2 linked regions of the Neodiprion lecontei genome follow. The protein of the gene in region 1 purifies or fractionates together with the protein of each later gene. This does not show direct contact. Links are inferred from orthologs where the notes say so. Each region holds a gene or a part of one and is shown on either strand. Other genes may lie near its edges.

Region 1 (12,016 bases):
TCAAAAACTCAGCAAATTTCTTTTTTTCATATTCAACACTAGATGCAACAATCTCAGGTCTTATCAAAGTTATCGTGAAGTTTGCCATGTCAAGCTTCATCAACTGCAAAGTTTCCAAAATTCCCCTAAATGTCTCAATAACATCGGTCGATGTTGCTAGCTCTGCAATCTTTTCATCCCTGACTGGTGCGCACAATTTTGCCATAATGGAGATAATAAAGTTAGCGTAATGATGGAAATCTAAAATTCCCTGCTCTGCCTGCTGTTTAATTAAATCAATGTCCAGGACCTCGTTAATGTTTTCTCGTATCTTCGTATGCCGAGGCAATAGGAGTTCTTCTAAAGCCTGAGGAGGTAAATCAGGGCCTTTTAATATTAACACACTTATGCAAATTCTATTCAGACCTATTTGAAAGCTGATAACTGGGAAATTTGAATTACCGTTTTTATTTCACCAAGAAGAGTTAATGCTTGATTAAAATTTGGTGGATCCTCGGCCAACTCTTGGGCTAACAGCTGCCAGAATATATTATGCATTGTTTCTTTAACTTTTTTTTGAAAGCTGTCACTTGGTGGATCCAGCGTTTCCAATTTGAAATTTTTATCAAGAGCGATTTCGTGCGCTAGGGCCATATTGGTCATACCATTTGCTGCCTTCATTATTTCTTCAAAGGACACAAATTTCGGAGGAGATGCCCCGGTTAGGCCTCCAAGCATAAAGTTTTGTACCTGCGATCTATTTTGAAGAAAAAATTTTTGAGTTTTCTTTTCAAATGATTTGTTTAAAAACTTGTGCACTAGGCACTAGAATTTTAAATTGATAAACTCACTGTTGCGTGTTCTTGTTTTCAGCTGATCTTTGATTGTCCACACGAGTTTCTACTGGCGCGCTAGCCTGGTTATTATTACATTTTTGCTCCTCTTCATTTTTCATTTTATCACCTCTGTAACAGAAAGTCTGAGATTTATTAAAGTTCAGAATTAAGTTTAGACACACAACAGTTCAAGGGTTTTTAATATATATTAATTGCATGAATTTTTTGATTTCTATTAAAATTTGCACCAATTAAGTGTCGAAGATATATCGCAGTAATTGCTTTAAGTACTGACCGCCAAAGAAAAGCAGGGATTAAACTAAAGAATATCCTCGAGCCTGGCAATTTGCGATTGAACAAGAGACAACAGATCGTAATTCCCCATACCACACCAGCACTGCGTAAAACTTTATACCTGCAGTACAAATAGGGCAATAAATTACAATCTTACCGAAAGGCAATCTAGAATTAATCAAATTCAAATGAGTCACAGTCAAATCTATGTTAAATATTCCATTAAAACGGACAATCTTTACTCTAATGTTAGGACTAGTAAAGAATTTTCAATTGCGATAGACTTAATAAATCTGGGGTCTGAGGATAAATTTTTCACTTATTGACACACCTGTCTAACATTGTTCTATCAAACTTTAAAATTCAAATTGAAAGACAAAACACTTGGAAATTAGAAGCAACGCGGTTTGAAGTAAAATTCGACCACTAGCTGAATGCTCTAACAGCTGTAGCCAAAGAGGTCAGACGCTATCTATAAAAAGAACTTCATTTGGTGCAAGACAGTATGGAAACACACAGCCACTTTCCAGAGTGTTTATTTTGTTCCTTGTGATCGCTAATTCCTATTTCCAATTTGTCGGTCAGACATTAAAACTGTTTGCATAAATTTATTTAATTTATTCACTAACTTAAGTGTGTATAAATAATGGTAACACAATGATGATTTACTCTGAATTAAACGAATAGGGAGAGAAAAGATTTTCCTTAAATAAGATATGGAAATTGTTATTTATTTTTCAATACAATGAATATTAACATGCAATCACTTAATCAATAATCAATGTAGAATTGACGACTTTTTTCTTTTTTCTTTGTAACACGGACAACAGAAGTTTAGCAGGCAAAGATAACACTTTGTAAACCCATGTATATAACAAGTATGAGGATGTATTGATCTGTTTGTAAACACGAAAAGTAAATCTTGAGGTTACATTTTTAATAACATTCATGATAAGATGTAGTTTTAACTGGGATCAAAAAGCACGAAAAAAAGTGTAAATTTTAGATAAGTACCGAAATAATGATGCGTCATTGAAATTATTCTAGAAAATTCCATCACAATTTAATGCAGTACCTATATCACTACTAACTGCGTATCGGCAGGTGAATGACACATCGTTCAAATGATTCATTCACCTTGAAAGGATTCAACGAAAAAAAAGTAAAAATTATAGTAACATCGGCATTGTACCTTTACTGCAGATTGTTCGAAAAATATTTGAAATAGTGGTGCAGTCTATATGGGTATAAAACACTTTTAATTTACTGGAATTCAGAAACAAACACCAATTACAAGTTAAAAATGGTTAATTACGTCCGGAACAGCTGTGATACTGTTTACAACTTTGAAGCTTGCTACGAGTGCTGCGGGCTCGTGTGACTGCTGTGAAGTGCAGCGAAGGCGACTGGAGTCTGATGGAGAAAAGTGAAGTTGGCCAATATTTATTGACAGCACCAGCCTGCAGCAGCCGACAAGCAGACGACACCCACCTGCGCAACTCCTTTGTCTTTCACTCGTGGCAACTCGTTGATTTTCATTTTTATATTCTCCCAAAATGGGTACGAGAACGTCTGGCAGCTTGGACCGTTGTAGTTTTCCTTGAATTTATTTTTCCTCTTCCTTGGGAAGTCGACCCTCAATCTCCATAAAGTCTGTTCCTATATAATACGAGATCCTCTAATATAGATCCTCGAGTTAAACGTGGTCAAGACATTAACACGTGGGCCTCAGTAAACAGTAAACGTAAAGTTGCTGCGTACATTTTACGTGTGATGTGGCGTGGCGCAACTTTTACATGCTGCAAAATTGGAATTCTTCATTCCAGAAAAATGATACTGGGTAAATCTCAGAATCGATCACTATTCTTTTATATGTAATTATATTTTTGTCAACAAAGTCACATTTTTCATATCTTAGGACAATTTCCACGGAAGTTGAGGGCAGTTAGAGTATTGCTCTCGAAAGATTGTTATGCACCAATTCAATGTCCTGAGCCGTGCGAAAATACTTGTTTAATGGACGAATTGCCAGTTCCCTGTGGATCGTGGCAACAGAAGTTTGATACGAAGATGAGGCAGTCTAATAGAGCTTTAATGATCGGAGGAGGATTTTTCATATTCACTATAATAGCTGTACGAATGTCAATGCATCCCTGAAATCTCAACCTAAATTATGCCTTTTAATCATAAAAGTGTCACTCTAATTTCTATTTTCACAGATGCACAAATTCGGATACGTTCGAGGATACAATGTTCCGCTATTTTACTGACAAAGTATTGAGAAACGATTGGAACAAGAATTGTTTCTGTAGCACTCCAATAAATAAATCTCTTGAATTAGTCGATGTTCATTACGTTATTTGTTTTCAATCGTATTCTTTACATCTTGCAGGGATAAAATGCGATATCTAATCTATAAACAATGTTAACGTCATGTCCCCCAAGTTTTTTAAATTCTAGGATTCTCTGTCCAGGTCCGCTCGGTAAGACAGAGCGCTGTCTAAATGCGGAGCGAAAAAATATATGTTTAGTTCCTAGCGTGTTGGTCACAGGTGGCGGCATCAGAGGCACAAATCGAAAATTTAACTATAACCGGGATTATCGCCATATTGCCCTTAGAGTCTAGGGCCGCGCGCCCGTAGCACCAAAAGTAATTTGTGAAAATGTTAAGATACGGGTACGCGATCAAGAATTTATCAAAAATTACAAGAAAACCATGCCTGAGCTACGAGCAGATTCCTTTAAAATATATCGGTGAGTATAAAACGAAAAAATTATTTGATTGTCAAGTTAAAGTCTATCGAATAACTTCCGAAAACCTCATGCGGCACCGTGATGTTTTTCTAGACTATTCGAAGATTTTAACACGTACATTTAGTAGTCGATGATAAGCGAGTCCTAAAGTTGTACAAATAATCAGAAAGAAAATACGAATATTTTTAACTGTCCTCCTTTCGTTCAGAAAACTAAGTATCGTGTCAGATTTTTCACTGATTTCCCTACACCTTGAACCACCCTGCGGCGATTATTTGACTTCAGTTAACCTACAATTCAAATATAATTTTCAGTAGATTTCGTGAGTAAGACATCATTTTAGTTTCTAATTTTTTTTTGCACATAAAAAATTTCAGGTATTATAAATGCCAGTCGAAACTACAGCGATGCCGGTGATAAGAAGCCGGGTAATCCTAACAGACCACCTGGCACTACATTGAAAGCGGAAGAATGCATTCCTTCAAATCAGTCGAAATCGAAGGGATCATTTTCCTCAGATCCTGTTTGTCCAATCGATCCGAATGTTGAATGCCCTTTGAGTCCCAACCGGGATTGTGGTAAAAGGCCAGAACCATTCGAGGAGGATGGCAACCGCAAGAAGCAGCAACGGGTATGGATGCAATTGCTGGCTGCTCTCTTCATCACTGGAGCCACCATGTACATGGTAACTATATTGAGAAAGAAACTTTTCACTTTAGGGAAGTAAAGTTGCAATATTTATTTGAAGAAATTACAATTCTTAATGCTTTTGCAGGTGAATCGAATGGGCTGGTTGCAAACATCTGAAACGCTTCAAATACCGAAACAAAGTAAGACTAGAGTTGTGATAACTAATATTGCACATAATATATCAAAATGAGCCAGTTTATTATCACTCAGTAAAATATGATTAGGCCTTAATGAAATGAATAAGTTTACTGAACTAGAAGGTAGAGATAAAAGTGTAGTACTTATCTGCCACTCAAATTTTATTATTGGTCTACGGAGTAGTTACTACAATTTATATTTCTTTCTCCCAGAGAAGAAGAAAAAAGCAGAGAGAAAGAAAGTTAAGATTCCAGCTGTCTCTTCAGAAATAGTAACAGAAATTCCTTACCTCTTGATCGGGGGAGGAACAGCTGCTTTCTCAGCATTCAGGTCTATAAAATCAAGAGATCCCACAGCAAAGGTAGTTGATTCTACAGATTCTCATAAGAATTGGATTATTTCACACTATTCATTACTTTAGGTTCTGGTTGTAACGGAAGAAGGGGACCTCCCCTACATGAGGCCCCCGTTGTCCAAAGAGCTTTGGTATAACAAAGACAGAGAGACTACAGAGAAATTAAAATTCAAACAATGGAACGGGTCAGACCGAAGGTAGTCACAATATTATGATCCGGTGGATAATCTGAGCTTTAATGCAGTTTTTACCATGCAATTGAATAACTCACTCGTTTTCTCCCCAGCTTGTTCTATGAGCCTCCAGAATTTTACACTCCTGTTCCAGAATTAGCACAATCACATAAAGGAGGTATCGGCGTAGCTTTAGGATGGAAAGTTAGTCAAATTGACGTCGTTAATAGGACGGCAGTACTTGAAGATGGTCACAAAATAAAATATGAAAAATGTTTATTAGCCACTGGTGTGTTTACCTTTCGAAACAAATAATGCTATATACTAAGTATTCTATCGTGATATTTAATTCAATGAAAAATGAATTCTATAGGTGCCTCGCCCAAGAACCTTCCAATATTTGAAACTGCGGATGATGCAGTTAAAAGTAAGATCGTACCATTCAGAACAATAGAAGACTTCCTCAAGCTAGAGGAGAGCATTCGTGATTCAGCAGTACAGAATATAGTTATTGTTGGTGGAGGATTCCTTGGTTCCGAAGTTGCGTGTTCTTTGGTCAGAAACTGTAAGTGTTACTCTGCACCTTCGTTGCACAACTCGGTTATCAACCATTTTTTAGTTGATTGGTGCTACAGATTATCTAATGAAAGGAAAAAAATTCAAATGGACTCAAATGTGTGTGAATAATCCTGGCAGGTATCGTGAAAATGCTCTGGTGACTGAGTTTTGAATTTTGCAGTAAATCCAGACCAAAAAACGGTTCATCAGATCTTTAAAGAAAAATACATAATGGCTCAAGTGCTGCCTGAATACTTGAGTGAATGGACTACGACCAAAGCAATGCTCGAAGGAGTGAGATGTATGCCTGAAACTGAGGTTGCAGATGTCGAAATGAAGGGTGGGCACTTGAAACTAATTTTAACAGATGGTTCCAAAGTGAGTAAATCCTTAATTTACAAAATGAAGGGCATAATGACTAAAGATTTATATTTTTGTAACTGGGAATTTCTGTGTTTGTAATTAACAGATTGACGCAGATCAAGTAATCGTAGCAGTTGGTGCGCAAGCGAATACTCAATTAGCTCAATCTTCTAATCTTGAAATTGACACAAAAGTTGGTGGTTATCTTGTTAATGCTGAATTAGAAGCAAGGAGCGATTTATGGGTCGCAGGGGATGCAGCTTGTTTCTATGACGTGAGATTGGGCAGAAGGCGAGTTGAGCATCACGATCACGCTGTTATATCTGGAAGATTAGCAGGCGAAAATATGACTGGCGCTGGTAGTTTAAGTTTTCTTTGTCCATAGATTTGATGCTTAATAACAGCAGAAATAGCGTTTACTGCAACTTATACCAATCAAATAGCAGTACTCATCGATTAACTTGTAGAGCATGAATCTATAAACTTGCGTCCTGTTTCAGGTAAACCCTACTTGCATCAGTCCATGTTCTGGTCAGATCTTGGACCTGAAATTGGTTACGAAGCAATAGGGATCGTTGACGCATCCTTACCAACAGTAGGGGTCTTTGCTAAGGCAACGGATCAAGACACCCCACTTGCTGCTGTCACTGCATCCAACGAGGGTTTGAGATCAGTTAGTGAAGAGGTGAAAATATGCAGTTTGGTTTATCTTTGGTTTATCTCGAAATATCATACATCATGTTGCATTATGATTGTAAGCAATTTTTACTGTTCTTAGTTTAATTGTATATTCTTCCCGCAGCACAATTCACAGGGTAACAAATCGGCAGCAATTATACAAGCAACACCGGTATCCCAGAAGCACGCACCTGTAGAAGGGTTGAAGTCAGCAGAGTCTATAAAGAATGTCAAAAGTGACAAAAAAGACAGTAAATCATGTGAAGACGAGGGAGGAAATAAAGTAGAGAAGCCCCGTGACGACTTTGGAAAGGGAGTTATATTCTATATACGCGATGACGTCGTAGTCGGCATTGTCTTGTGGAACATATTCAATCGCATGTCCATTGCTCGACAGGTAGGCTACTACTTTCATGGATTTCTATGCTCATTTTCCAGTGGGCATGATATATTTGGGATCTGATAAAACGAATAATTAACTCTCCAGGTTTTGGCTAGTGGAACAAGGTACGACGATCTGAACGAGGTAGCTAAACTGTTTAGCATTCACGAAGACTGATGGCACTGAAGTTGCATTTACCATCGAATCACTGTTTGTAAATATTCGTGTTACTTGCTATCTAGTTCTTGTATGTATTTTACACCCTGTACTAAGGTACGATCTCTAATGATTTGACAGATAAACTTTAGGAAACATAAAATATTGTAGATATCATTTCTCTTAGAATCAGGAAGTTAGTGTTTTATCCGAAACCCGGGTAATTGTCACATTTTCTCGCAATCGTACAAAGTCTATGTGCATTTATATTACAATAAATATATAAATATCGAACGCTAAATTATGCACATTGTTAGAAAATAAAGGACATCATTGATGGTGAATACGGATGATAGTTTTTATTCACCGTTAAGTAAATATTCTGGTTTTAATTGTTTAGTGACTCTCATCACCTGCAAAAACTATGCAGTAGTAACAGTAATCAACATACATTTTATTGTAATTTCCTGCGTACACTGTGCTTAATTAAATGATTGTCATATTAAAGTATTGTGCTTATTGCAGTACTTGTTATTACTTCTGGAAGAAGTTCGGTCTTGGTAATTAGATAGGAAATCATGTAACTAACGCTGCCTCTTGGTATGTAAGCAGGGGCAAAGTCATATTGCGATACCGTTTCGATAAAAGATCCATCAATTGTAAATGATTTCCAGATCGATAGTCAGTTAAATCCTGTAACATTGAAATCATATGTACGATAAAATTACTGTGATTTTTGAAAACTCTCGCTGCTTTAAGCTACGAGAATAATTTTACGCACCATATGTTCTGGCCACATTTTTCCAGCCGTTACATCTTCTAAAAGTTGGTTTTGACTGTAGTGTAACAACGATGTACAGTAATACAACGGATAGTCAGCTGGATACAAAATACAAATGGTTAGCAAATGTATGATTTCGCACCATGGTAGTATCCTCCAGAAACATTGAGATATGATTTCATCACAAATAATCCACCAGTCTGTACCGCAGTTGTTCTGTGAAATTTGACAGACACATATTATTTTTAAGAAAAATTCCGGGTCTGAGTTTTGAAAAATCCACTATGTTAAGACAAAAACCTTTAAAGCGTATTTGATGCTAGGCAATTCATTTGCAACGATATTTTCCAGGAGATGTGAGAATGTGGTTTGAAAGTTTACAGGTAAATTCTGTTCACGACTCACAGCTTTCCCTAGCATAGGCCAAATGTACATAATCGATGGGAATTGAACTATTTGCGTGATGAAAGTTTTACACCTTGAAAAGTATACAACTCATTAGGAAAGTGATGTAAAATTGGTTTTGATTTTTACATTAACTTTGGCAGGTCAGTGATGATCCATTAAAACTGAGCCACGTAACTTTCAAGCTACTGCAATGACGGTGAAGTTTTCAATCTGAGACCTGCCTATGATGAAATATGGTTTGCTAGAGTCACTTTTTATGGAAAGTACAAGGTCTTTAACAAATTGCGGCAATTAGTTACAGAACTTTACTTCTGAAAAGCGTGATTCGCGGCCACCTGAGGCAACAAAATTAAAAATTGCGTATGCTCACCTGTCCATATCTCCATTACAAATAATAAAAACACTTGCAATGAACCAGTCGAATCCTTCAAAATTTTTTTTCCACCCGTAATACTTAATGAATCCGTGAACCTCTTTCAAGAAAATTTTCAAGTTTGTTTTCGCAAGTGACGTAACTTTCATAAGCCGATTTTGTTCTGCGTACAGCAAAGTTAATTCAATGCCGTAAACTTCTTGGGGCATCAGTGTGTCGTGATCATTATGCACTGGCCACTCGAAATGGTTTGTCAATTCTAATTCAGGAACTGCCTTTTGCATTTGATCAAGTAGATTAATCACGACGGAATGCTAAACATATTTGAAAAAATTTAACATCAGATCTGAAAAAGAGAAACTCTTATCTGCTGAAATTTGATGCTTACTTGTATTGGTTCTTTACTAGAAATCTTATGAGCTTTCCTCGCTTGTGACACCCATCCATTATCTCTGAGTCCAGGCTTATTTTCTTGGAGAAATCTTCCTAATTCTGAATGTAAGGGTATGGTGGGGCAAAGTTTTTCCACATCAAATTTCACAGGAGGCGGTAATTTAGAAAACAATTCTGTCTGCTCTAGCACTGCTGTATCACCAATGAATTTACTTATAATGCAATAGGATTTCAAAAGTACTTTGTGGCGAAGGAAACCTGCCTCATCAATTGCATATATTATTTTAAGTTCGCCATCGCTTTCTATCTCGATGATACACGTTTCTTGAAGATTGAGGAGTAGTTCCTTTACAAACAACAAAAGTTCACATTGATTTGTTGCATAAATCAAGCTGTAGATACTTTGAATTCTTTTATAATTCGTACCTGATAATTCAGTACGTGCTTCAAAAAAATATTTGCATCCAAGCTATCGAGGAAAACGTTCAGCGCCATAAGCGCAAGGCAGTGATATGGTGAATTAGAGTTTACAGAATGTTGTAATAATTCCCATAAATTACTGGGGTGACTGTCTTCGCTAGATGAAATTTCTTGACTTGTATCATCCAATAGAGCGATGAAGCCTGTAAAAAATTATTGAAAAATAGGTTTCTGCATAATTTGAATATTAATATAACGTAAGAGCTGATTAAACGTACACAAGCTGTTCAACGACAATAGTCTTAGGATGTGTAAAAACTCTTTTACAACACAATCTTCCCAAGGATCATGAAAATTGTGAGGATCTTCTAACTTTGTGCAAATATCAGTTAATACTTTTGATAAGAAGTGAGGGGCTAGGTCTCTCAAGATCGTAAAACCCACTGGCTCCAAAGCCGCAGTGGACAAAACAGCAACAACGTTATTACAGCTCCAAGACGACTTGAGTGGCTCTATTGAGCCTCGCAACAGTTCTTCAAAAACTGACTCCTCACGAGTCAATAACTGTAAAGCGAGAGGTAGAGAAACCACTTTAAGCAGCATAGTCTTAATTGCTCTGTAAAAGAAAAATGAAATGAAGGAAACATTATCTAAAATTAAGAGCAAATGATATTTTCCTACCTATCGAGAGATTGCTTTTTCATTTCATTTTCCATCGAGTACTTATCCATTTTGTTGTACAGATGGGCGATTGCTGAATAAAATTCATCTTGTAAAATATATTTTACCACGTGACATACATCATAACACTCAAATAATCTTCCTATGAATTTAAGCAAATCAATCACATACTCTGTATTCATAATAGAAAGTGGTTGCCGCAACAAATCTGCAGCGTATACCAAAACTGCATTTGCTGGACAAGTAGCAGTCGATTTTTCTTTACAATTCAATGAGAATGCACTAGAGTTATGGATTATAAAGCGCGAACCTTCTTCCGTATTCAAGGCTCGCATCATCACATCTATCATGTGAGGATGTATTTTACGTTCAGTTTGGGGTGGTACTCTCAATAACGGATCAAGAGCTAGTTGATAAAACCTAGCATCATATAAAACTGATGGAGAATCGAGCAGCCTCTGCAAAGCTGAGCGAGAAATATCATAAATGCTTGCTGGGACTTCTGAAAGTGCTAAAATATTCAACGAATTCAACAGAGACAGCATAAAGTCAGGGACGTTGAACGGGTCATTCAGTTGAATTTCAGACAGTAACAGTCGACCAGCAGCCTTGCTGCAAAGCTGAGCTAAAAAGCACAGAGAATGGAGATACGTCACAGTCTTGACGGTGTCTCCAGAGATATTTACTTCAAATGGCTCATCGTTAATATGTGCCGTAAGAGCCGCTGGCGATTCTACCATACCAACCCTTACAATATAGATGATGCTTTGTAACAATGCAGGGGATTTTCCTAGAGCAGTTGTTAATATTTTCAGCGTTGTTAAGCTGTGAGCCCATTTTCTGGACCAGTCTGACTTAGGCTCCAAAACTGACAAGATATTGAGCGTGGTCAGGATATGCAGCTGATTGCTAATACCAAAAGTATGAGAACTTAGAAAAGCTAGAAATTGTTCCATCATTTCCTCTAACAATTTTTCTGTGTTTCTGTTGCTTTTCAAAGTTTCTTCCTGGTGTTGAATGATCAAGTGCATTATACGAAGTAATTTCTCATGAAGGTTTATCTTGAAATTAATACCAGACACAAATGTAGGCAACATATGATGTAGCCGTTTCGAATGATACAGTGCACTGAATGCGTTTAGCAAATTTGTTAAGACATCTTGCTGTGCCTGAGACCCATTTAATAATTGAGCATGAGCCTGTAAGCTTGCCTCAAATATAGGCTGACTCTCATCAACGATTCCATCTTTCAAAGCTTTCAACAGTAATTCCCACGATTGACTACTCCCAATATTAGTTATTTCGCTTCGTGTCAAAGCTTCGTATCCTGCTAGTCTGACATGGATTGGTTTTTCATAGCTAATTTTATTCACAATATAGGTAAAATTGTCACTTCCAATTGCTCGCATGGGCCCCCAATCCTCGCCAGACAAATCGCTGGAAATAGACATAGACGTCTCGGGTCGCGCCTCATTTATAGCTACAGAATTAGCTCTGGAGGACAAGCAGCGCTCATCAATGACTGACTTTACTCTGGCAATCAGTTCTGTCATTTCCTTAGATTGAATCATATCTTGAGCAATTTCGTGCGCATTTTCATTCTT
Region 2 (11,775 bases), on another chromosome or scaffold:
TGGAATAATTGTTACGTAATATAATTCTTTATTAACTTACCGTTTCTCTGCCTTCAGAGCAAAAAAAATATTTATTGTAATCGCCCCGAAAGTTAAAAGTTGAGATATCACTATAGATCTCGACGTTTCAAGATCTAGAGAATCACCTCCGACCATTTTCTGCTGGAAATCTGTATGTACGTATGTATGTATGAATGTGTGTGATCAATTTTTTATCCGAAGATATCTCCGGAACGAGTTATCGGATTTCAGCAATTTTGGTCTCAATTGACGTGGCTTTTTCAAACTTAGAACAGATTAGATTTTGGCTTTGATTGGTTCAGTACTGTTTGAATCATTTAAATAACAACATTCCAAAAATAGAATAAAGATGATGATACTTTGAGATTGGATTCGAATGAAAATTGGTAACGTAAGGTTTTTGGGGTTGTTGATCACGAATCTAAAATTAGATACGTGAAACACAAAATGGAGAATCTGATATTGTAGAAAAAAAATCTGAAAACATTCGGATTTTGTTAGTAATTAGTAGCTGGAGGATTTTTGGGTTACCGATAACGAATCCAAGGTCAGATTTCAAAAATTGATGTCACAGTGGATCCATTGCATTGGTTCAAAATAAAATCGTAATATTTTCATGTAACATGGTATCCGAGGGCCTTTCAATCTCTAATCACGGATTTGAATTTGTAGTTTGAAATTCGAATTTGATATCAATATTTTTTTGCTTTGTGAACATGGAACCTACGCTGTGAAAACCGGTAGTTCGAAGGCTGGCTTACGTTCAGTCTAAAGCGGCACGTTTTTTTTTTTTTATTTTAATATTTGTGTTCGACATTGCATGTATAAAATTGCTGTGAATATAGTTTATACTGTCACATCAACGATGTGTAGACTTTGATAATAGGAAGAAATTTTCTTGACTGTGGTTCAGTGATATAGGAAGGATAAAAAATCTTACTTATCCTTCCTATAGTTGATAATAAGTATCGCAAGTCCTTTCATTTCATTACATAGTTTATTGGATCGTTGCATGATAGAATACAAACAAGTCACTTTGTATGATGATCTCAGTTACAGTTATCTATAGATATGTTTGGTGTGCATCTTTCGGTGGGCGTTTTGTGCAATTCTGACACGGCTTCGTCGCGTGTTCAGTAACCTTTGTGGATATCATACTGTTAATATTACCAAATGCATATTCTGACGTGTACCCCTCTACTACACGATGCTATTACGTATATTACGTGAGTGATTTTGAACAAATCAAATGACCTCAGACGTAAAGAATCTTTTATTATGCATGTAACAATGATAAGGGAAAACTACAAATCATTTTTACGTTTCAGACACAAAATTTTTCATTTACTGTCGAGTAAACTTTGTAATAAATGTAAAATTTATTCTTTTGTATCTGTGTAATCTGTGGATATAATTGTTATATATTGAGAACAATACACAAACTTTAATCTGATTTCTGCACTACCTCCGTCAACGACTCGACTACTTTTTAGTTTTTGAGTACTAGTGCGTTAAAGTCGACTTTTACGCACTAGTGCTTTAATAAAAACTACAAAGTAGTCGAGTCGTTGACGGAAGTAGCACAGAAAATAGTATTTGTGGCATGTGCGCATATACGAGTACACCGAGAAAAGAAGTTATCGAACCAAACAACTAACTTTGTTGATCTACAGTTTATTTGGTTCGAAAGATTTCTCACTCAGAACAACTACTTTTTAGTTGAAACAAAAATATTGATGCATTGATTTGAATGCTATATATATGCTTTCGAGTTTAATGTATTTCAACCAGTTACATATTTATTACATTGAATTAAACTAAAAATTGCGGAACGACAACTTTGCTTGAATCAACAAACCTTATTTACTTCGTGAAAGAATAGTACTTTCACCGCTGAACACATCGATTCAAAAGTACCGAGAGATTAGAAACAATAATCCCACGCTTACTGATATATTAACGTTATTGCCAGATAGTATATTTGACTCAATGTAATATTTGTCCGACATATTCAATGATAACTACAATCAAAGAAATGTACAATATGTTGAAACAAAAATTTGTTTCACAAGACAAGTTTTAATATTCATTTAAGAATATTATTTTGTTCATCAAGTTATATATATATAGCAACTTCAAATAAAAAAAATCATTCAAGTAAATGAGGATATGTTTGAGTGGAACCAAGAAAGAGTTCTTGAGTTGCTATATGTACCACATTTAATTCAAGTTATCGACTAATACAATGAAATATAACTTTTCTCAGTTTGAAACAATCACATGTAGTTGAAATCTGCAAATATATACTTTAAATTGATTTCAAGAACTCTCGATACTTGCATACGCGCTCGAAACTAATGAATCATTGTTTCTACGAAATTAACATTATTTCACTGAAATAAAATTTTTGTTGAGTTGATAGTCTTCTGATTCTTTGTGTGCATGTTTCGTGTTTTTCAACCGAAATGATAAATTCATTCGAAGTGGTACCAATTTCGGTCAGTAGTCAGCAAGCTGTCCCGCTTGATAAGTAGCTTCAAAGTTTTTCATATACCCGAATCCTTCGCATTACGAATCTGCCAACCATATGTGATGCGATCTATCGGGCTATGGTTTTGATCCAATCATGTTTTCCAAACACTACTTAACTTTGGAGTGACGCTACTACAACTTGTTTGGTGGCAGTCAATGACAATAGTATATCGTATGAAGAAAATTTTTTTATTTATGTCACCCAGCAGCTAATTAAAACTACATTTACATATATATCCTAGAGCACTGCATTACGTGTTCGCAGAACTGGTATAACACTCAAATACTGAAGGAATCATTGAATCAATTAAATACATTATTAATCCAAATATGGGGTTAGTCGTTGTGATTTCAGTTTTTTCTATACGATGCCACTTCTTCTTTGAACGGAAGAATATCCCATTGGTCCTTGTAAACATCATTTGAGTAGAGCATGCAGCACTTGGACAAAAATATCAAACCTAAAGAGGAACTCCTGTGCGTTATGTCGCTTAATCTCTACTTAATTCATTTAAATTATTTTTTATTGATTCTAAATACGTATTTTTTAAATTAAAAACTACATGAATTGTGTCGCTTTGAATAAATGTGCTCTAAGTACTTTACAAACTCATGCATTATCTGTATCAATTAATATTTATTAAATCCAATAACGTTTTTTTTTAGTCTATGGATTTCTTGACTCGTATGAGTTTCGCACTTGCCTTTGGCTTGCGCGGAACTTGACACTCTTCAAAGAATCTCTATTTATGCGCACTTGCCACGAAAATAACTAATTTAGTTCAGTTGCGTTCACGCGCGATTCCTTTTAATTCTGACCGTCGGAATTTTCTAGAGGAAGAAATAAAATTAGCGTCGGCGACCTTCAACATAGTACTCTCCCCAGCTTATTTCTGACCCGCTGAAACATTTAAGGGCGGGGTCAGAATCGACCGTATTGTACGTCTCTGATGTACAATACACACCTATTTGGAATAGGTAGGAATATATGTATAATGCTCGGTCTTGGTATCGCAATCGCATGGCTGACTGGTGGGTTCCTAAATCTGTGATGATGCCGAGTTTAAACCGTGGCGGCTAGACATGATGCGTCAGAATGACGTGTCTAGTATCTCTCACGCAATAATCGTAATCGAACATGTCGTCATGGTGTGCAATAGAAAAAATCAACATTAAATACAATAGCTGGATGCTCACATAGTTCCAAGAGGGATGATATTGTTTTATAAACAAGTGAATTTTTACAAAAGTGCACAACATGAAAAACATCCGCGTTCGAAAGTATACGGCAATAAAATTTATCAAAGGATGGAATAATTGCTAAATTAATTCATATTTTATTAACAATATGGTTATACTGTTGTCTAATCAGCCTTATGCTTGCGATATTCGATATCGTTTTTCCACTGTACCCAAGCTAGGTAATCGTATGCGGTGCGATCATTGATGAATGTTATAACGTTGTCATTCTTACACATAAACACATTACATGAAGAACGCACGCATGAACATTATTTTTCGCATACACGCACATTCGTATGCTTCTGAAACCGGAACCTTACTATACACGTCTTACAATTAAGTCATACTTGTAGATAGCTCTATATAGCGCTGGCGGTGGGTATCCTTGAGACTTCCCACCATGCTTGAGGCTGCGGTCTCATGACGAGAAATGAGCATAACGTGGTCAAATAATACAGCCAATCATTTACAGTCTTTTACACTGAGGAATAATTGGCAATTGGTTACTATTCATTCCTTTGCATGATACAACGAATCCTCACAAACAAAAGCTTCCGAGTTACCGAAAATGTGAGAATCAAAAAAAAATTTATTTTCCCAATATGTACTTTCTCCTTATTTTCAGGAATCTTGCAATGCAATTAGAGAAACTAATAAATATGTTCTATTGCTAATTCGTTTATCAGAAACAACGACATATTCAAATTCTTGATCAATTAAGGGGGTATAACTGTGGAGATTTTGTGATGCGTAAGATATCAAAGTCCAAAAGTTTATATAAATTTATGTAAATGAGAAATATTTCTTTTGAATGATACTTGTAAAAAATTTTAATGATATAAAGTAACGGTATTTTCAAGATCATACATGCTGTGTACGTGAGGAACAATTATTAACAATTCCTGCATGATACAAAAAATAACTAGCAGTCTTAGCTGAATTCGAAGAATGTTTGAAGGAATAGAAAAATTCGACAATACTTTCGTCGCGCGACAAAAATTCAACAATGTGAAATTCAAAATTTCTGAACAATATCGCAGAGCAATCACACAAAATGCTCTGTTCCAAGTTCACAATAATCCGGAAAGATCGATCCATTCCAGATTCTATGGCAAAGAATTATACAAATCCTAAGAAATGAAAATATTGCATTATTATTCGGAAATTCTTTTATTCTTTTCAGTTTGATTGTTCCATCTTTCCTGTAGATATACAGTCTGCATTATTCGGAATTCTAAGTTTCGAATAATCGGTTAACTTGAAGGGAAATTTTTTCCGGAAGATATTGCAACAATTCGGTCCCTCGGTCATTATATGATTCACAATGACGTTCCCGCTTCCACATATGAAAAATAATAATCAAACGAAAGTGTATTGAGAGTGTGAAGGAAAGGCACTGCAGGTTCAATCCCAAATAATGAAGCCGGAAGTGACACCGTATGAAATAGTGATCAGGAATCGCTGAATGTTTCACGAATGTATTGTACATCGATTTTGTACTGATAACAATCCATTTATCGGTTCGGGTTTCTTCGGGAATTTTCGGAGCCACCTTCCACTACCACGTCGTATCCGCGACAGTGGCGTCACCGATACTGTGGCGGTATTCGTCGTTTGATCATTGGTCTCCACTCCCCAAGTTTTGCGTTCACTTTTTAACTGGGCAGTTCAGGTACAGCCTTCCAGTGCTTGTATATCGCGAGTTAGTACGAAGTTACCAAATCGAGTGACCGCATCGCGAAGTACGCCGCAGGAAAGCAACTCGTTCATCGTTAAAAATGGTTCTCCAAATTACTAGCTCGGTAAGTCCACTCCCTTTAACAATAAGTCAAAAATCGGAAGAACGCGAGAGAGTGAGAAACAAAATGAATACAAGTGACATGTTGAACGAGAACACTAACCAGATGAACAAGTTTAACCTAAAGATTATTACGCTGGTGAAGAAATAGGCGGGCGGATAACCTTGATAAGAAATAGAGAAGGAAATAATTGCTGCGTGGCGTGTTAGTTGTAGCTGGCAGAGTGACCGATGGACGTATGTCTTATTCCCGAAGTTAACCAAGTCCAGCGTTATAACCGTTATATCTTTAAGACTGTGCCGATTTGTAAAGAATATCACACTCGGTTGAACGCGTTCGTAGAGTGTGCTCTCAGTGCACACAGGTAGAAACTTTAAAGCCTAAGTACGCATTAGTACAGCACGTTTACGCATCCGAATTGTTTATCTGTTGATAATTGACCAACTATCTGAGCGATATCATTTGATAAAATGTCGGCACTCCTCTTCGCACTATTGCCTCATCAGGCTCACATACAACTTCGGCATTTTTGCCGCCTCTTTTCGGCCTCTTTTATCCTTCTCTTCGACTTTCGCTCCTCGACCGCCCGTATCACACTTGCTTTTGCAATATTGATCACACCAGAAATCGCGAGCCAAATAATTACGAATTCGAGAAATGTGATTCTCATTATGCAACACTATGCTCGGACATTCGTTTTTGTCCTTAGAGTACGTAGTTTATGCAGTACACTCTACGCAATCTGCAATTCGTCGGCTTAAGTACATGTAGGTTTATCGACTATGTAGTTCGCAATGCTCGATGCAATGTGCCGGAAATACTTTATTGATAACCGGCAAACAACCGTCGCTGCGATTACGAATGAAAACAGGCGTGATTCTCTAATTAACTGAACTGGATGCGTCGCTGATTTATCATGTTGAAGTTGGTAACGTTATCGTAACGATTTATGCGATTCATGCGAAGGAAAAACCGTCATAAAACAAAACATAATCATACTTCATGACATTGTAAAAATAAGAAAATAGTGATTTTTTCCCTATTGTTTCCTTAGGAACTTCAACCTTGTGATAATCTTGATTTTTAATGAACATAATCTAGCTCTTCGATGATATAACTTGGAATGTAGGTAGATTAGGAGTCATATTCACTTACGTAACAAATGACGATGAAAATAAATTCAAATACTTTCTTTATCACCGCAATGACGAAATCTATGTTAGATATATGTGCAGACGGATTGCAAAAAAGCGGAAAGACGATTGTGTGCGTTAGCTAATTTTCGCCCAGATATATTGTAACTATTTGCTATTTACCGAATTTTCGATATTTCGGTATCGGTATTGACAGAAGGTTCCCATACCGATACATTTCGAGCAAGGAGATGCCAAAAAAAATTCGGTATACCGAAATACCGCGCACCCCTAATTGTAACATGAATTGGCTCACGGATTTGTTTGGTTCTTTACTTTTCTCGTGACCCGGTGATTTGATGCACCTTTTAAGGACGTGCCCTTTAGTCGATTTCGACGTTGTCGTATATATCTCCAAATATCGAAGTCCACGTGTTTCAAACGCGAAAAAGAGCTTAACAGCCCAATTCTATACACCATTCTGAACAAAAACACTCGAATACATTTCACAATACAAATGGCACGGGTTTTACAAAATCGAAGAAATCGTAGAAATCATACCATTCCTTTATTTTTATGTTAAATGAAAATATTTTAGAATGGTTTTATTCAGAACTGTATGTAGAATGGGGCTGTTATGCCCTTTTTCACGTTTGAGATACGTGGACTTGGATAATTTGAGATGTATACGATAATGTCGAAATAGACTAGGGAACTTCCTTAATTAAGGAGATGTAGGAGTTAAGAAACAACGATTGAAGCGATTACAGCGTCACCGTATTCTGTTACACCGATTTTGTATCCATATTCTACATACAGTAAGTATCGAACATCTCTTAATTAATAGCGGGCACATCTTTATAACGGATGTTCTTAAAAAAATTTCCAGCAAAATGTAATAGTAATAGAACGGAAATTCTTCCGAATAGCAGATGTTGTCATCAGCGGACAATACTTTCATCCCCAAATAGGTTTCCGCTATCAGGAAGTTTCACTGTTTAATTCGTGTTTTAAATCATGGTTTAAAAATGTACTCAAAAATAAAAAGACCTATTGAATTTACGGCAACAAATCCTTTCTCCGTGTAGTATACAATGGAAACGTAATAATTACTTGATATTCTCCGCCTGTCTTACGGATCATGTCAATCGGTTATGTTGGGCAAGGAAAGTTGAAATGTATAAATACTTTGTTCACGAAAAATTGCATTTTCTTGACTACGTGGTAATATAATCTGTATCTCATGGAATACAATTCAATACTATTCATATTACGTCAGGTAAGGAGAATGTACTGCGGGGAACTAAATGTTTTCGACACCGCAAGAATGACTTGTTGGAATAGCGTTAATCAAAGTACAGGTCAACGAGATAGTTTGTTGTCATCTGTTTGAGCTATATATAGAGCATGCGTGTACAATGTTATATACATCTCAATTAAGAGTAATACATTCCGCGGTCTATTGAATCTTTTTCACAAACTACGACACTTCGCGCAATTCACAAAACCATGACCGCGCTATATTCCTTGGGGGGGGGGGTATATATACATGTGTGTGATGTAATTCGGTTGGCATAATCGTCAAATATCTTGATAAGGATTTGGAGCAGTTTTGCCAAATTTTCGAGTATGAAATTTGCCAGATCTCTTGGAGATGTTGTACAATTTTATCTGAAATTTTGAAGAGACTTATTACATTTTAGCGAAACCTTACAAAAGTACGCAACAAAATCTTGTACAGTTTACCGAAATTTTTTAAATCTACGAATAGAATTGTTTCATTGAAACTCAGTAACATTTTGCACAGTTTCGTGATATCGTATCCTATTGAAGGTTGGCTGAAAGTTTTATCGAATTTTACGTTATCTTAAAAAATTACATGAAATTTGACTTCGTATCACGTAATCTTGTCATGTATTTAGGTAATATCCAAACTTGAGATAAAGTTTGAAAAATCATATGAACTTTCAGTAATCCTGCAATCGAATGAAATTTTATGATGGTCCACGCAATTGGTCCAAGTTTTAATGTGTAACACTAGGAAGGTCGACCCCTTCGATTTTGATCTAGTTCATATATGTTGTTGTTGTGCACCAGAAACTGAGAGACTCATATATTTTTTTATCTGCTAATAAACGGTTTAGAGGGATACAAACAACTCCCAAAGATGGGCACCTAACGGGGTGATTTTTGATGCGCTTGATGGATTTGAATGAAACCAGCGGTGAAATGTTTTATTAAGGAATCGAAACATTTCAGCATTGGTTTCATTTAAATCCATCAAACGCATCAAGAAATCACACCCATTGGGTGCCCAATTTTTCTAACGTGTCCATGACTTGCAATAACGATGTTTAGTTTTCAAAAGTCTGCAATTCTGATTATTCAAACCTGTTAATATTACAAAACATTTTTGAGAACATAGATAAACAATATTTGATTGATGAATAAGGACATCACTAAGGCAATTGTCAATTGTTGGACTTTAAACACATTAGCAAGTGTCTAGTATCTAAAAAAGAACGATAACACATACTTTTTATTTGTATTGCCAGACAGAAGTATCTGGGTTGTCAAAACTATGACATGAAATCAATCGATTCTAATGACTGTGAGATACTGTTATATATTTATGTGCGATAGAATTTAGCAGGTACTGAAAAGTTGAGAGGTATAAACTATTTATAGGTTTTGTACACTAAGCCGAGGTTTTAGAGTCTGACAAAATGAATGTATTACATGCACAATTATATTACTGATAAAACTGGAATAATTTGTGAGAGGAAATTCAATACCTATACATACCTATTTATACAAATTGAGACGCCACGTTATACCCTCATAAATTATTCCAGAACTCTGGCATAATAAATTGTTTCGTGCAGAAGCGTGTTTTCACGTAATATACTAAGTCTAAATTACCTGGAATATTTATACTAAACATGTCATTTTTTGCCATTTAGTAACAAAATCGATATTATGATTGAGCTATCTTCAACGTTCTATAATACTATTAATAGGACTACAAACCTTGATTAACATACCCCACGACAGAGTAGGACTTGGCCTTGTTTTTCCTGGTTGCCGTGACAACATTTTGTACATATAAAAATTTCCTTGAAGAGAAACAATGGTCATGTTAGTTCTTCACTGTTAAATCAGCATATTGTCAAAGGTGAATTCTATGACCCATAGTTGATATACTACAATATTTAGTACGCAATTCATTTAATTGTCGTCTTCTGAGCTCATCTTACTTTCCCAATTTTTTTAATACACTCGACCTGCATTCTTTAGTTGAAATTAACTGGCAGTTTTATTAGGATTATGTATTAATATTCGCTTGCACGTTTGTATACACGTGTTTAAAGTCCGCACAATTAGCTAATTTAATGTTTGTACGACTTTGCCTGCTTAAATTAATTACAACTTGGGATAAAGGAACATTTGAAAAACAGTGGTTTACTTTCGTCAAGTACAATTGTTTCGAGAAATTTATCATGTTGAAGTTAGTAACCTTATCCTAATGATTCATGCTAAGGAAAAACCACCATTTCGCAATTTTGTTATTGTTTTCAATTCAACGAATCATAATAAAACATAACAGACTCATATTTCAATATCTTAGTTCCTTCAAAGTCATTGTAAAAATAAGAAAAGAGTGATTTTTTCCTCAATGTTTCGTTTCTATAACATTATTAACTTCAACCTCGTGAAATTGAATATTGTTCATGTGTTAATATAGTATAGCGAGACGACTCTTTACAGTTCAGTTATCGTGGTGTTCTGTTCATGAAAATAATTCATTTCTTATCGAGCACTTTTTTCTTAATAAACTAAATCAATTTCTCTGCTCTATTTTTAGGCTGATCTCAAGGCCAAATTGAGTGAGGCTGGAAATACGCTGGTCGTCATAGATTTCTTTGCTACTTGGTGCGGACCATGCAAAATGATTGCACCAAAGCTCGAGGAATTGTCCAAGGTAAAAACAAAATGCTAATTGCAGATGGACATTGAATTTTTATACAATTCCATTTCAATGTGAACTTGTGCAAATTTATTTTCCTGTTTCCTCTCCAGGAACTCAATGACGTTATCATCCTCAAAGTTGATGTCGACGAGTGCGAGGATATTGCCTTCGAGTATGAAATATCCAGCATGCCCACCTTCGTTTTTATAAAAAATTCTGCTGTGGTAAGAAGCTTCTCACATTATTTTTTTCTACTCTGAATATTTTCTACTTCTGTTTGCGCCGCAAATTACATGCTGCATGAAATATTTGTTAATTAAATATCGCAAATTATTGTTTCAGCTGGAGTCATTTGCCGGTGCTAATTTTGACAAACTAAAAAACACCATTCAGAAACACAAGTGAAAATCTGTGAAAAGAAATCTATTCCATTATTTTTAATTGTAAACAATGCTAAACACAAATAATTACATACATATATATGTATACGTATGAGTATATACAAATATATACATGTATATATATATATACGTATGTATATGTATATAGAAATCAGAAATTGAAATATTCCGCTCATTTTTAAGCTTATTGTCAGTGCGTCATTTGTCGACGAAAAAATCCAGTAAAAAACTGTTGTGCTGTGCCGTCGCACAGATATATTATTATTACATACCAATCTGTATACAATAAACAGTTTAATGTTCAGTTTTGTTATTACTGAAGTAGAATGAAAATAAAGGAAAGGAAACATTGGAATTTAATCATTGATGCTGTAATTATGCACTTGTATCATATAATCATACTCATCAAGTATTATGATTATACAATCATCAGTAATTTTTCAGCCAAATCATTTTCATTCGCTTTATATCGGCCTTTTTATAAAATTCATTGCAGTACATAACACTTCGATTTAAGTTGCTATCGAATATCTGTCCGATTTGTCTACAAAAAGCAATTGTATTTTATGATAGAATACAATACAGACGGTAGAATATATTGGTAATATAAAATAGGTGTCAGATTTAGTTGATTAGTTATGACTGCGATAATGCTAATTAAAATATTTTCTGTCACT

The links.
Region 2: the proteins of apoptosis-inducing factor 1, mitochondrial (region 1) and thioredoxin-2 purify together in Homo sapiens (affinity purification with mass spectrometry; 3 studies listed by BioGRID and IntAct, with this or other methods). This does not show direct contact. The link is inferred for Neodiprion lecontei from reciprocal best matches to the Homo sapiens genes AIFM1 and TXN.

Annotation. Positions count from the first base shown.
Region 1 is NC_060265.1:5,859,065-5,871,080, forward strand, and holds apoptosis-inducing factor 1, mitochondrial, read left to right. Parts: upstream 1-3,699; 5' UTR 3,700-3,772; coding exon 3,773-3,863; intron 3,864-4,240; coding exon 4,241-4,548; intron 4,549-4,638; coding exon 4,639-4,693; intron 4,694-4,903; coding exon 4,904-5,052; intron 5,053-5,112; coding exon 5,113-5,243; intron 5,244-5,332; coding exon 5,333-5,508; intron 5,509-5,592; coding exon 5,593-5,784; intron 5,785-5,958; coding exon 5,959-6,155; intron 6,156-6,246; coding exon 6,247-6,499; intron 6,500-6,640; coding exon 6,641-6,825; intron 6,826-6,942; coding exon 6,943-7,215; intron 7,216-7,305; coding exon 7,306-7,377; 3' UTR 7,378-7,932; coding exon of another isoform or gene 7,933-8,049; 3' UTR 8,050-8,137; coding exon of another isoform or gene 8,138-8,353; 3' UTR 8,354-8,437; coding exon of another isoform or gene 8,438-8,615; 3' UTR 8,616-8,915; coding exon of another isoform or gene 8,916-9,232; 3' UTR 9,233-9,306; coding exon of another isoform or gene 9,307-9,657; 3' UTR 9,658-9,737; coding exon of another isoform or gene 9,738-9,934; 3' UTR 9,935-10,009; coding exon of another isoform or gene 10,010-10,334; 3' UTR 10,335-10,511; and 1 more. Other genes in the region: T-complex protein 11-like protein 1, read right to left, coding at 1-346, 442-736, 831-944, 1,111-1,230, 1,441-1,451; uncharacterized protein LOC107221093, read left to right, coding at 2,666-2,669, 2,797-2,949, 3,028-3,242, 3,329-3,379; protein broad-minded-like, read right to left, coding at 7,933-8,049, 8,138-8,353, 8,438-8,615, 8,916-9,232, 9,307-9,657, 9,738-9,934, 10,010-10,334. UniProt on the Homo sapiens protein: Functions both as NADH oxidoreductase and as regulator of apoptosis.
Region 2 is NC_060262.1:7,921,568-7,933,342, reverse strand, and holds thioredoxin-2, read left to right. Parts: upstream 1-5,405; 5' UTR 5,406-5,573; coding exon 5,574-5,597; intron 5,598-10,592; coding exon 10,593-10,709; intron 10,710-10,807; coding exon 10,808-10,921; intron 10,922-11,038; exon of another isoform or gene 11,039-11,039; coding exon 11,040-11,102; 3' UTR 11,103-11,458; downstream 11,459-11,775. UniProt on the Homo sapiens protein: Participates in various redox reactions through the reversible oxidation of its active center dithiol to a disulfide and catalyzes dithiol-disulfide exchange reactions.